3 linked regions of the Alligator mississippiensis genome follow. The protein of the gene in region 2 purifies or fractionates together with the protein of the main gene of each other region. This does not show direct contact. Links are inferred from orthologs where the notes say so. Each region holds a gene or a part of one and is shown on either strand. Other genes may lie near its edges.

The links.
Region 1: the proteins of WWP2 (region 2) and POLR2D purify together in Homo sapiens (affinity purification with mass spectrometry; 3 studies listed by BioGRID and IntAct, with this or other methods). This does not show direct contact. The link is inferred for Alligator mississippiensis from reciprocal best matches to the Homo sapiens genes WWP2 and POLR2D.
Region 3: the proteins of WWP2 (region 2) and GPN1 purify together in Homo sapiens (affinity purification with mass spectrometry; 3 studies listed by BioGRID and IntAct, with this or other methods). This does not show direct contact. The link is inferred for Alligator mississippiensis from reciprocal best matches to the Homo sapiens genes WWP2 and GPN1.

The regions. Positions count from the first base shown.
Region 1 is NC_081830.1:39,463,034-39,466,773, forward strand, and holds POLR2D (DNA-directed RNA polymerase II subunit RPB4), read right to left. Parts: upstream 2,723-3,740; 5' UTR 2,686-2,722; coding exon 2,613-2,685; intron 1,692-2,612; coding exon 1,511-1,691; intron 1,120-1,510; coding exon 1,024-1,119; intron 630-1,023; coding exon 551-629; 3' UTR 36-550; downstream 1-35. UniProt on the Homo sapiens protein: Core component of RNA polymerase II (Pol II), a DNA-dependent RNA polymerase which synthesizes mRNA precursors and many functional non-coding RNAs using the four ribonucleoside triphosphates as substrates.
Region 2 is NC_081833.1:76,451,317-76,455,056, forward strand, and holds the start of WWP2 (NEDD4-like E3 ubiquitin-protein ligase WWP2), read left to right. Parts: upstream 1-863; 5' UTR 864-914; coding exon 915-959; intron 960-1,109; exon of another isoform or gene 1,110-1,199; intron 1,200-2,260; coding exon 2,261-2,345; intron 2,346-3,353; coding exon 3,354-3,501; intron 3,502-3,740. Other genes in the region: RNA-binding protein NOB1, read right to left, coding at 96-229, 464-596, 712-795. UniProt on the Homo sapiens protein: E3 ubiquitin-protein ligase which accepts ubiquitin from an E2 ubiquitin-conjugating enzyme in the form of a thioester and then directly transfers the ubiquitin to targeted substrates.
Region 3 is NC_081824.1:457,308-461,047, reverse strand, and holds the start of GPN1 (GPN-loop GTPase 1), read right to left. Parts: upstream 2,270-3,740; 5' UTR 2,227-2,269; coding exon 2,119-2,226; intron 1,986-2,118; coding exon 1,892-1,985; intron 712-1,891; coding exon 672-711; intron 1-671. Other genes in the region: ZNF512 (zinc finger protein 512), read left to right, coding at 2,564-2,581. UniProt on the Homo sapiens protein: Small GTPase required for proper nuclear import of RNA polymerase II (RNAPII). May act at an RNAP assembly step prior to nuclear import.

The sequences.
Region 1 (3,740 bases), on a different chromosome or scaffold from region 2:
AATCAGATACTGTTTACAAACCACAGGATCATACATACAAATAGCGCCTTTTAATTAAAACTAAAAAGCTATACAAAAGTATTCTTAAAGGGGGAAAATCCCACTATCTTGATCAAACATATACATAAAAACCACCACACGAAGTCTCATCAGTCCTGATTCCATGCATCATTATGATTGCCAACAACCAGTAGGAATAATTTCTCCATCTTGGGGAACAGGTGTACACAAGGAAAAAATTGTACAGCTGCACTTATTCTAGAAACCAAAAACACTGTAAAGATTCACAAGTCAGGGACAGGCTGTTAGGAAAAGCAAAGCACTGACACCACTCAGACAAGACTTTCTAGGATCCAATGGCTCTCACCATAAAAGAGTCTCTTTTATGGACTAACTGGCCTCCCATTTGAATGCATCTGTGGTGGACACCAGGCTGGAGTACTCTGCTCCTGGCACTTCCTTAGCTCAGGTCTGGGAGCAGCTGATTTGGTCTGGAGTGCAAAAAGCACTTGAGTTTTTCTCTGTTCATAAGAGGGGCTGGGTGTTAACCCTAATATTGGAAGCTTCGTTTGGTCTGAATATCATCAAGAATCTGCTGTAACTCCTCATCCTCAAACCGGCCCTCTAGGCTGCAAGATAAGAGCAATGACAGTAAATTAATGGCTTTAGACACATTTGTTTTCAAAGACCCAGAATTCCTCTTAACATATTGTTTTGTACCAACTAGCAACTCCTCCAACAGTGTAATGCAGACACTGTTCTGAGCCTCATATTGTGGCTGTCATGCAAACCAGACACCATCCCTCCTTTGACCTCTTTCAAGATAGTAATTTTGTAATGGCCTTCACCCACAAGACATCTGACTGAAGTCCTATATGGACCTGCACTCATAGGCCAGCCTAGTGTGTCTGTGAAGTTTTCAGTGCAAAGGAAAAACCCACAGGTGACCCCAGCTTGTCCTTTCTTCCTGTATCTTAGAGCCCCACAGTTCACACAGCAGCCCTGCTAAATACAAATTCTCACCTGGGAATCAGAGCCTTGGCCTCCTCAGCTGTCTCAGGACAAAGATTAGCTAAGCACGCCAATTCAAATTTATGGAGCTTCTTCTGGAGCAATAAACTGCAGATAGGGAAAATAAGATGGTAAGAATATAGCTACAACAGAATAAAAAAGTACAGGAAAGGAAAATGTACCAGTGGAAGCAGTAAAAAAGGAGGGAAGAAGGAGGGGCAAATTAAAAAAAAAGAGTGCATTTGCATAAGTACAACCCCACTTCAACTACCACTACTACTAATCATCCCAGGCTCCAAAAAGACTGATCTGATGTCACTCATAAATGTTTATTTTGAAGGCATCTATCATAACCCACTCAAGAAAGAACATAGAGCCTGGCTGAGATCTAAGTGCACCCCTCTTCTGGCAACATAGCTAAGGCATTTTAACTGCGCAGTACCAATACCATACATAATAAATTCCCTGACACAAATCTTTCCTGGTCTCTCCTACTCACCTGCGGACACTGGCAATAGTCTCTCGGTTTTTGAAGCGGCTGAAACGAGCCGTGTAGTTCAACGTTTTCATGAAGACTTCTGAGAGCTCCTGCTCATCCTCTGCACTCTCATTCTGCTGCTTGCGATGCTCAAGCAGCATGTGTACTTCTGAATTGAGAAGAGTCTCGGCAGTTTCAAACTCTAGGTGAAAGAGCAAAAAATCTCAGCATGAGAGAGGGATCAGCACTGATAATGAAGCCCATGTCTATATCCTTGCTTTTGTATTTGTGTTGGGGGCCTCCTGGCCCTGCTTCAGCTCCCCCCACCCCACGGGAGCAGATCTAACCCAGTCCCACAGGGGAGGGGGCCCTGCCAGAGGGAAACAAAGCAGGCTGGCCTGGCCCGGCCCAGCCCCATCTGGCTGTGTGCTGGGGAGGAGCATGCAGATATGGCAATGGGCAGGGAGCAGGGAAGGCGGTTTTAATACATTTATATCGGAGGCCAAATTAGCCAAAACTAAATCCCAATCCAAGAGTCCAGAATCATAAGTGGCCCTACTATCGGCAAACATCCTGCACCCTCACCTGGGGCTTCAGATGTTTCCAAAACCTTTGGCAGGCATCCTACTTGCAGGCCCAAGCCTAGAGGTTTGGGGTTCAGATGCCCCTGAGTTTTGCTTGCCCTCAGCCGTCAGGCCCTCGGAGCAAGTGCCGGAGGAGACTCCCATGCCCATAAAGTGGGCTTAAACCCGCTGCACCTTGGCGGGCCCTGAACCACGCCAGAAGAGCAGCTCTCCTGCGCAGCGGGTCAGGACAACTGCCTGCGTTGCCACACATACATGGTATTTCCCCTGCCAGGTTAAGAAGCCCCGACGCTTGTCCTGAGCTGTCAGGGGGAGGGCGGGTGTATGAATGGCCACTGCTCCCCCGCGGCCAGGTGCGGCGAGCCCCGGGGAGCCCGGCGAGGCCACCCTCGCTCACAGCCCGGGCACCTCGGGGGGCCTGTCCGCGGCCCCACGTGCGCGAGGAGGGAGGGGCCAGAGCAGAGCAGGTCGCGGCGGGAAAGAGCCCGCCGTCCCTTCTTGCTCCCGGCTCCTTCCCGCGGGGGGTGGCGGCCGCGCACCTTTGGGGAAGACGAGCTGCGACGCGTCCTCCTCCACGTCGGCCGCCCGCGCGTCGCTGCCTCCGGCCGCCATCGCCCGGCCCGGCCCGGCCCGGCCGCGCAGGCGCCGCGGAAGCGCAGCCCTCCCCGCCCTGTTGGGGCCTCGGCTCCCGCCAGGGGGCGCCGCCGGGCCGCTGGCCGCCCTCGGGGCGTGGCCGCACGGTACGCGTCGCGGGAAAGGCGGCCCAGCGCTCTGGGCCAAGTGCTGGTGGCCGCGTCGAGCCGGCCGTGCAGCTACAGAGAGACAGTCAGTGCTTGAAAATGAGCAACAGCTGCGTGGCCGGTTCCTGTGCAGCTCTCACTGGAGCGCAGAGCAGAGAGCAGGTTGACAGCCCCAGAGGCCGGACAACCAGCGCCTTGCAGGAGGGAGCTGGACGTCCCAGGGCTCGAGAGGGGCCCAGCTGTGCTGTGCCAGGCAGCCGGTGTCTTCCGAGGCTTCCCTGCGAAGATCCGCCTCAAAAAAGGAGTAGCAAATCCTGCAGGTCTTCCCATGGTTCAACGGTTAGCACAGCTTCTGCACTCCTGATGCTTGGCCCTGACAGAGATAAATACATCAGAAAGACAAGTATTTCACAGGCAAGCTACAAACCCAGGTGCCTGGCAGCAGACGACTGTGGAAGAAAGTCAGCAAATCGTTGCATCTTGAAATCAGCTTGACAACCAACATGACTGTGTAGTGACGGGGGCTTATTATTGCCATACTTCTCCCCTCCAAACGCTTGGCAAACAGATTTACACATTGTGCGCATCATAAAGGAATTGAAATTCAGGCACTGCTGCAACTGCAAACAACAGCATGGGGCAGCAAACAAAAGGCTCCTTTATCCCTGCCGTGATGATTTGGGGAATCTTATCTACAGTTTATGAATTTGGATTGATAGTATCAAATTGCTAGTATGACAGTCACTGAATCAGGAAATGTCTTTGTGCAGTCACCTTTCCTAACAAGGCCTCTTGTGTCCCTAGCAGACCAGGGAACTTAATGACAGTATTTTAACTGAACAGTGGGAATGCTAATGAGCTTTGCTGGAACAGGGAGGAGAACCTACATTTTTTACCTGTTTGTAGGAAGAAGATTTGGGAAAGGGA
Region 2 (3,740 bases):
CGGTCGGTTGTGCACGCTTTCACCCCGGAGTGGGACGGTGCCCTGCCCTGGGGCAGCGCTCCGCTCCGCTCCCCACCCCACCCCACCCCCCATACCTGGTGCTGGGGCTCGGCCCGCAGGTGCGCGACGCCGCCGGTCTCGGCCTGCAGCTCATAGGTGAGCGCCAGCACCTGCAGGTCGGCGGGGGACAGCGACGGGAAGTCGCCCGTCTTCTTCGAGAACTCCGTCACTGCGGGGAGGGGGGCGGGGTCAGGGCCACCCCAGGCGTCTGGGCCAGGGGGCGGGGCCAGAGCCGGGAGAGGGGCGGGGCCAGGGGGCACCCCAGGCGTCTGGGTTAGGGGCGGGGTCAGAGCCGGGAGAGGGGCGGGGTCAGGGGCACCCCAGGCGTCTGGCCCAGGGGGCGGGGTCAGGGGCACCCCCAGGTGTCTGCGTCAGAGCCGGGGGGTCGGGGGCCAGCACTCACCCAGGCGCACGTGCTCGGGCCGCGGCTGGCGGAAGAGGAGCGGGACGGGCAGGGCCGCCAGACGCCGCCGCGCCGCGCGGTCGCGGATCTCGCCCACCACCTCGCGCACCGTGTACACGCGGCGGCCGATGTCCTGCGGGGAGGCGCCGTCAGCCCCGCCCCGCCCTGCCCCGCCCCGCGCCGACCCCCCCCCCCCCCCCCCGCAGTCCCGGCCCAGCCCGGCCCGGCCCGGCCCGGCCCGGAGCTACCTGCAGCGGCGCTGCCCGCAGGAAGGCGCCCGCGTCCACCACCACGTGCTCCACCGCCGCCATCTTGACCACGCCCCGCGGCATGCCGGGAGTCGTAGTCCGGCGGGCGGCTGAGGGGGGCTGCCGCGCGGGGCACGCCGGGATCGCTATCGCTCCTCCCCCCTCCCCGCCTCCCGTTGGGTCAGGTGACCTGCCGGCGTCACATGACCGCCGCGCGCCGAGCCGGAAGTGCCGCGCCGCCGTCGCCGGTAACCGCGGAGCGGGGGGAGGGGGTGGCCGTTGGCGGTTGCCCGGGGAACGGCTCGAGCCCAGCGCGCGTTTCCCTGCCCCCGCCCCTCCCCTCCTCTCAGGCGGGCGGGGCCGCGCGGGGCGCCCCGAAGCTGGTGCGAGTCGGGCCCGGGCCCGGGCCGGGGCGGGGATGCGCTGCGGCCGTGGACACGGCGCCGGGCCTCCTTGCCTTCCCGGCCCCGCGGAGCTGCGGCCCGGAGGTGGGTGGCTGGGGCGGGGGGACCCCCTGCCGCCCCTCCCTCGCCGGCGGGCTCAGGGGCGGTCGGCGTTCGCGACAGGGAAGGCGGCTCCGCGCCGGCACAGCGGTCATTCCGGCCCTTCTCCGCTGCCAGGGTGTTTAGCGCGTGCCCCGTCCTGCCCCTCCCCCTCCCCCTCCGCAGCTCCCGGCGCCGGTCGGGCAAGCGCCAGCCCGACTTGGGTTTGCGAGCGCCGTCCCGCGCGCCCGGCTCCTGGCCGTCGCTACGCCTGCAGCCGAAGGGGCCGCCGGCCAGCGCGGCTTCCTGCGTGGGACGAGGGGCAAAGTCTGGCAGCCGAAGGCACCTGGCTCCTGATCTCGCTCCGCCCTCCCCAACGGTCGCACCTGGCCAGGCAGGGCAGCAGCGCAAAAGCTGCGTGTGAGCTGGGTCGCGATCTGCGCCCGGCCCCGCTCTGGGAAACGGGGCGCGCGAGGATAAACACGTGTGTCCGCGCGGAGGAGAGGTGACCAAGGCGTGGAGAGGCAGGACGTGATCCCGATGGGCACTGCGCTGCGGCACGGGCCCTTCCTTTCCTCCGCGTGCCACGGTTGTGCCGCGGGAGGTGCAGCCAGCGTCGCCGCCCAGCTGCCTCTGGCCCCCGAGCACGCGGGCAGCTCCTTTTCTCCAGCCAGACGGCTGCGCTGGGGCAGCGGGGCCGTGAGATCGGCTGCTGGGTCTGTGCGTTGTCCCGGGGCCCCGGTCCTTTGCGGTGCCGTCCCCGTGAGGCCCGCTGTGTGTTGCTCGCACGTGCTCAGCCTCTTGCCGGGGGCTCCTTCGTGACGCCGAGTGGGCAGGCCCGTGGGGGTCGGCCGTGGCCAGGCAGCAGCGCTGCAGCCGCTGGGCTGCTCCCGGCCTGCGGTTCAGTGCTGACTTCTGGCTGCGCCTCTGGCATCGCCAGGGTCTGCCGGCCATCTGGGAGCGACCGGTCCCAGCCCCGCCGGGGTGGTCTCATCAAACGCAGCCTTGGGCTCCCCTGGCTCCTTGTGAACCTTCGCTCATGTGTCGTGCCTGTCTTTGCTTTCCAGACCCGTGGTAATGACATGGCCTCCGCCAGCTGCAGCAGGGCCGGGGCAGGGCTGCCCTGTGAGAAATCCCAGCTCTTGCTGAAAGGTGAGTGCAGGGCAGGGCCTGGGGGAAGGAGGAGCCCTGTCCAGGCTGGAACACCTTGCTTTCCAGCCAAGGGGTAGGATGTTCCTCAGCCCTGCACTCCCTCCCGGTGCCTGGGAGGAGGTGCGATGGGGAGAAGGCTGGCTTAGCCGCGGGTGCCAGCTGCGCTCGGGGATTGCACAGCTAAGTCCTGAGAGGCACAAAGCCTTCCAGAGTCAGATTTAGCAGCTGCCTCTTGTCAGTGCCCTGATCCCAGCACCAGAGTGGGGGACGATCCCTAGCCAGGGTGGGCTTGGCCACAGGGAAGTTGGGGCCCCCGGGCTGGCCCTGGGCAGTGGCTGAGCTGTAGAAGGTGCCTCATGGGCAGGCTTGGGCAGGAGACCTAGGAAGAGCCTTTGTGCTGAGCTGGAGCTGGGGCTCTGCTCGCTCCTCGCTCCACTTGGCAAGTAGGAGGTGGAGCCGGCGCTCGCTCCCGGAGGGCCGCCAGGGGGCTCCCGACACCTCCGGCTGCTCCCCCGGCTTCTGGCCTGCCCCTGCTCTCGTCGCCCTTCTTGCACCCCATGGGCTGTAGCATGACACTGCCCCACTACCGCAGAGGAGACGCCTCCTTTCTGGGCTCCCCGACACCTCACTCTTCCCCCTGGGCTGGTGGCTGGAACCCAGGTTCCTGCAACAGGGCTGGCTTCTCGCTTTGGCCACTGCTGAGAGGCACCTGGGCCTCCTTGGGCTGGGCCCAGCTGATGCGTTGTCCTGTAAGAGGCCCAGCAGTGCTATAAGCTCAGGGCACAAAGGGGAGCCTCGTGCAGGAGCGGGGTAAGCCTGTGGAAAGGCAGCTCCGAAGGCCTGGTTTTCCTGTGCCTGGCCGTGTGGCCTGGCTGGGGAGATTGTGCTGAGAGGGACAGACCCGGACACCCTGCGCTGGGCTCCTCCTCCGCTGATGGTGCCTGTTGCACGTGGGGCTGAGGAGTGGGCTGGCGACAGACGGTGACCGCACCTCTCCTGTCGGCCTAGTGGTGTCCATGAAGCCGAAGGTGTACAGCCGCCAGTCCCGAATCAACAGCTACGTGGAAGTGACGGTGGATGGACTTTCCAGTGAGACCAAGAGGACGGGGAAGCGGACTGGGAGCTCCGAGCTGCTCTGGAACGAGACCTTCACCCTGTAAGAGCCCCTGCTGCCTCCTGGGGCTGTAGGAAGGGGTGTGGGGCAAGGGCAGGCACCTGGGGGAAAGCGTTAGAAATCTCAGTTCCCAGGGGAGGGGGTTGTGCTGGGCAGGAAGGTTTGGGGCTAGCAGGAGGGGCTCTGGCTGCCTGGTGTCCCTGTGACAGCCCTGATTTCTGGCTGTTGTGCCTGGCCTGTCTGAGGCTTCCCTGCTGGCCACAGCACTGCTCAGTACCAGC
Region 3 (3,740 bases), on a different chromosome or scaffold from region 2:
GTGGGGACACAGGGGCATCAGCAGGACCAGGGGGCTGTGGGTTTAGTGAGGGGCACTGGCATAGCAGAGCTGCTCAGCACCACAAAGTGTTGGGGGGGGGGGGGGGGGGGCAGTGCAGTGCCCTAGCGAGCAAAGGGGGCAGGAAGAATTCTGATTTTAAATGACAAAAAACACAAAATCAAATGCCAAAATATGTAGGTATTTAGAATGTATTTTATTAATGATGATTGGAGGCACTGGTAGGCTTCCAAATTGCTTTAAAATTGTAAATCTCTCAATAAACCATTGTGTTCAGCTGATACCTCTATATATAGTGGCATTTCATTTTAATTGCAGAAAAAGCCCATGGGGGGGGGGGGGTTAATAAGAGAATTTGCCATTTTTAAATAGAGAAAACCACGATCCCTGCTTATGACAACTTAGCTCATTTATGGGGTAGAGAATTGTGCTTAGGTAACAGTTACAGAAGGCTCCTGGGTGGCAGCTCCTACTACACACGTACGTTTGTCTGTACCTTCTCCAAGAAAAACACAACCAGCCAAAGCAAAGGTCTCTCTCTCTTTCTTCAAACCTGCTCCCAGCTGAAATCCTTTGATCAACCCCAACCCACAGGCCTCAAGTCCGCCCAGGAGAGCAGCTCAGCATGCAGCCTTAGACCAAAAAAAGGATACTGCTTCATGACTTCTTTATATTTTACTGTATCTCTGATATCTAGGAAAAGAAAGTGATGCACGTGACCACTCTACTAACCGAATACGTTCTTATTACAAAAGAAAGAGGAGGGATTCAATTACCCCCTCCCTGGCTCGGTGCAGGGACCTAGCAGCAGTGACAGGAGTCTCACGGCAGACTATGTCAGTTCACCTATGTTAGCTGTCCCAGTACACTTGTAAAACCCACCCCACTGCGCAGAACAGACTTCCAAATTCCCATGCCTGCTAATCTACTCTTGGCTTTTAGGATGGTTAAGGCTAAATATGGTAAAAAAAGGCAGTTATTTGCCTCGCAGGGGCCAGCACTCTGGAGCCCTGTCAAACAATAACTATCTTCCATTACTTTTGCCTGTTCATTTTGCTGCAAAATCCTTTCCTCCTACCCCTCACCCAGCATTACACGTTTGTTTGCTACCCTGCTCCCACCCTTACTGCCAAGGAAGACAGGCTGATAGAGGCTCAGCTCTGGGGAGACACCTAAAAGCACCGGGCCTCTCCAGCTCCACGAGAGTACGCCTGAGGAACAGCGAGGTACGTGTAGGGTCTTCTATGATTTCCAAGCTTTGATTTCTCCAAAATGCTTTTTTTCCCTAAGCTAGTGAAATATGCGACACTTTAATCTCGGGGATCTGTGTGCTGACAGGTGGCCATGGAGAGGGTCTGAGCCCAAAACCGACCTGCTGAAGTGGCTGTAGCCCCCGCCCCCGCGTGTGCATGTCTCATCTCCACCCTGAGGCAGGGAACGGGTGAAAGCCGAAGAGGGGGCGAACACAAGGCTCAGAAGCGCAGTCGTTTCCGTAACAGCATCGCGCTGGCACCCAACCCTTCCCGACGCTAGAGGAAACGACCCAGTGCGCTGCCTCACGGCCGCCTGTCCCCCGCTGACAGAACAAGAAGATTTGGGGATTATCAGGCAACGAGAGCCTCATACCCCAGTTTCAAATCGTAGCAAAGAGCACACGATTCCCGAGTCCCCCTCAACCGGGGAGGTGCACCCAGACGCGCACCTGGGCGTCCTGGCTCGCTCCGCTACCACGGCTCCCTCGACACGGGAAGCGCCGCCGTGCGGGGGGAGGCTGCGAGCCGCGGCTGGGATGGCCCATCGCTCCGTGCTCTATGGAGACGCCCGTTTCTGCCGACACCGCACGCAGCTCCCCCAGCCCCCCCGCGCGACTCACCGATGTTGGCGGGGAAGGGCAGCTCGTGCACGGCGGGGTCCAGGTTGATGACGTAGGGGGGCGCGCCTTGGCCGTGCAGGTGCGCGACGAGCCGCTGGGGCGAGATGGCACGAGACGGGGGATGAGGCAGACGGACAACAAGCACCCCCCGCCCCTTCCCGTCCCGCCCCAGCCAGGTCCCCCCCGGACCTGCCCCTCCCAGCCAGCCGGGCGGGTGCGGCCCCCACCTGCACGAGCGTGGTCTTGCCGGAGCCGGCCATGCCCAGCACCAGCACGCACACCGGGGGCTCCGGGCCACCTGCCGCCACTTCCCCCACTGCTGCTGCCGCCGCCATCTTGCCAACCACTTCCGCTTCCGGGTAACAGAGCGCTTCCGGGGAGCCGAGCTGCCCGCTGAGAAAAGACAGGAAGTCTCCTGGGCCCGCCCAGTGCTGGCGCTGTGTATTTGCGTCACAGTCCCCGGGAGCCAATCATTGACGGGCGCTTTAGGTAGCTGCGGGCCGATCTCTATGCTCCTGCCGGAAGCGGCTTGTCTGGCACCACCCCCTCGTCTCTGTGGTGCCAAGGGGTACCGCGCGATGACGTGTCGGCCGCGCGCCGGGCCTCTTGCGCGCCTTTTTTTTTTTTGTGCCCGTCGCGGGGTGATGACGTGGCGGCGCGGACGCGGGCGCCATGAAGAGGCGACGCTCGGTGAGTCCCTGAGTCCCCCCCGGCCCCCCCCGCGGCGGCCCCGGGCGGGGGCGGGGGCGGAGCCTCCCGGGATCTTCAGCGGGGCCCCCATCCCCCCTGGGGGGAGCTCCTCCCCCCATCCTCGGGGTGGCCTCCCCGCCGTGGGGCTCCTCAGCGGGGTGCCCCCCTCCCCCTCCGCGGGGTGCCCCCTCCCCCCGGGGGGGCTGCTCGTCCTTCCTGAAGTGAGCGGGATGCTCGAGGTGTCTGTCTCCCGGCTCCTCGCCGCCCCGTCCCGCGGGCCCTGCGGCCGCGCCGTGCCTCCACGGAGAGGATTGTTATGAATAAAGTCTGCGATCGCGCCGAGCTGCTGGGCGCGGCCGGGTCTGGCCAGGGGTCCCGGGCCGGGGCCCTGTGTGGCCGTGGGGGAGGGCGCTTGGCACAGCCCACACCTGGCCTCGCGTGGGGGAGGGGGCGCGGCCTGGCCCGGTCCAGGGGCAAGGGGAGGCAGGGGCCGTGGATCCGCTGCCGGGGGCTGGGCGTTTGTCAGCGGGGCGGTGTCCGTGTTAATTGTCGCTGCGCCCCCGGCCCAGCCCCCCGCCCGCCCGCGGGAGCCCCGGGAGCCAGGTGCCGCGGCTCCGCGGGCTGCAGCTGGAGGCCTGCCCTAGACCGAGCCGCTGGTCTCGAGGGCTGCCTGGGGCTGGTGCGCGGGTGTGATCCAGCCCCGCGGAGCCGGTCTACGGGCGTGATCCGGCACGCGGCCCGGCCCAGCCCGCACGCCCGGATCCTGCTCGTGCACAGGGCCGCGCTGAGACCCGTGGGGGTGCCCCTGGTCTGGAAGGGGGGCAGCCGTCGGCGTTGTCGCCGCTCCCTGCTGTCAGGTTTCCAGGCCCGTGGGGATCTCCCCGGGCTGGGCTGGGCTGCAGCTGGAGCGTCCCTGCCCTAGGCCGTTCTCCATCTTGTGTCTGTGGTCACTGGAAATTAAGGCTAGAAGGATCCGGTGGATCCGACTTGTGACTCGCAGGCCAATAGGTATTGGCCAGATTCTGTACAAGACAGTCACAATTAGGCCCTCAAAAAACCCCCCCAGATTGGACCGGGTGCCACTGACGTTGCTCAGGAGAGCGGGCCCTCGCGCCAGCGTCTTCTGCCACGTCAGGGAGCTGCTCTTGCTGCTTCGCCC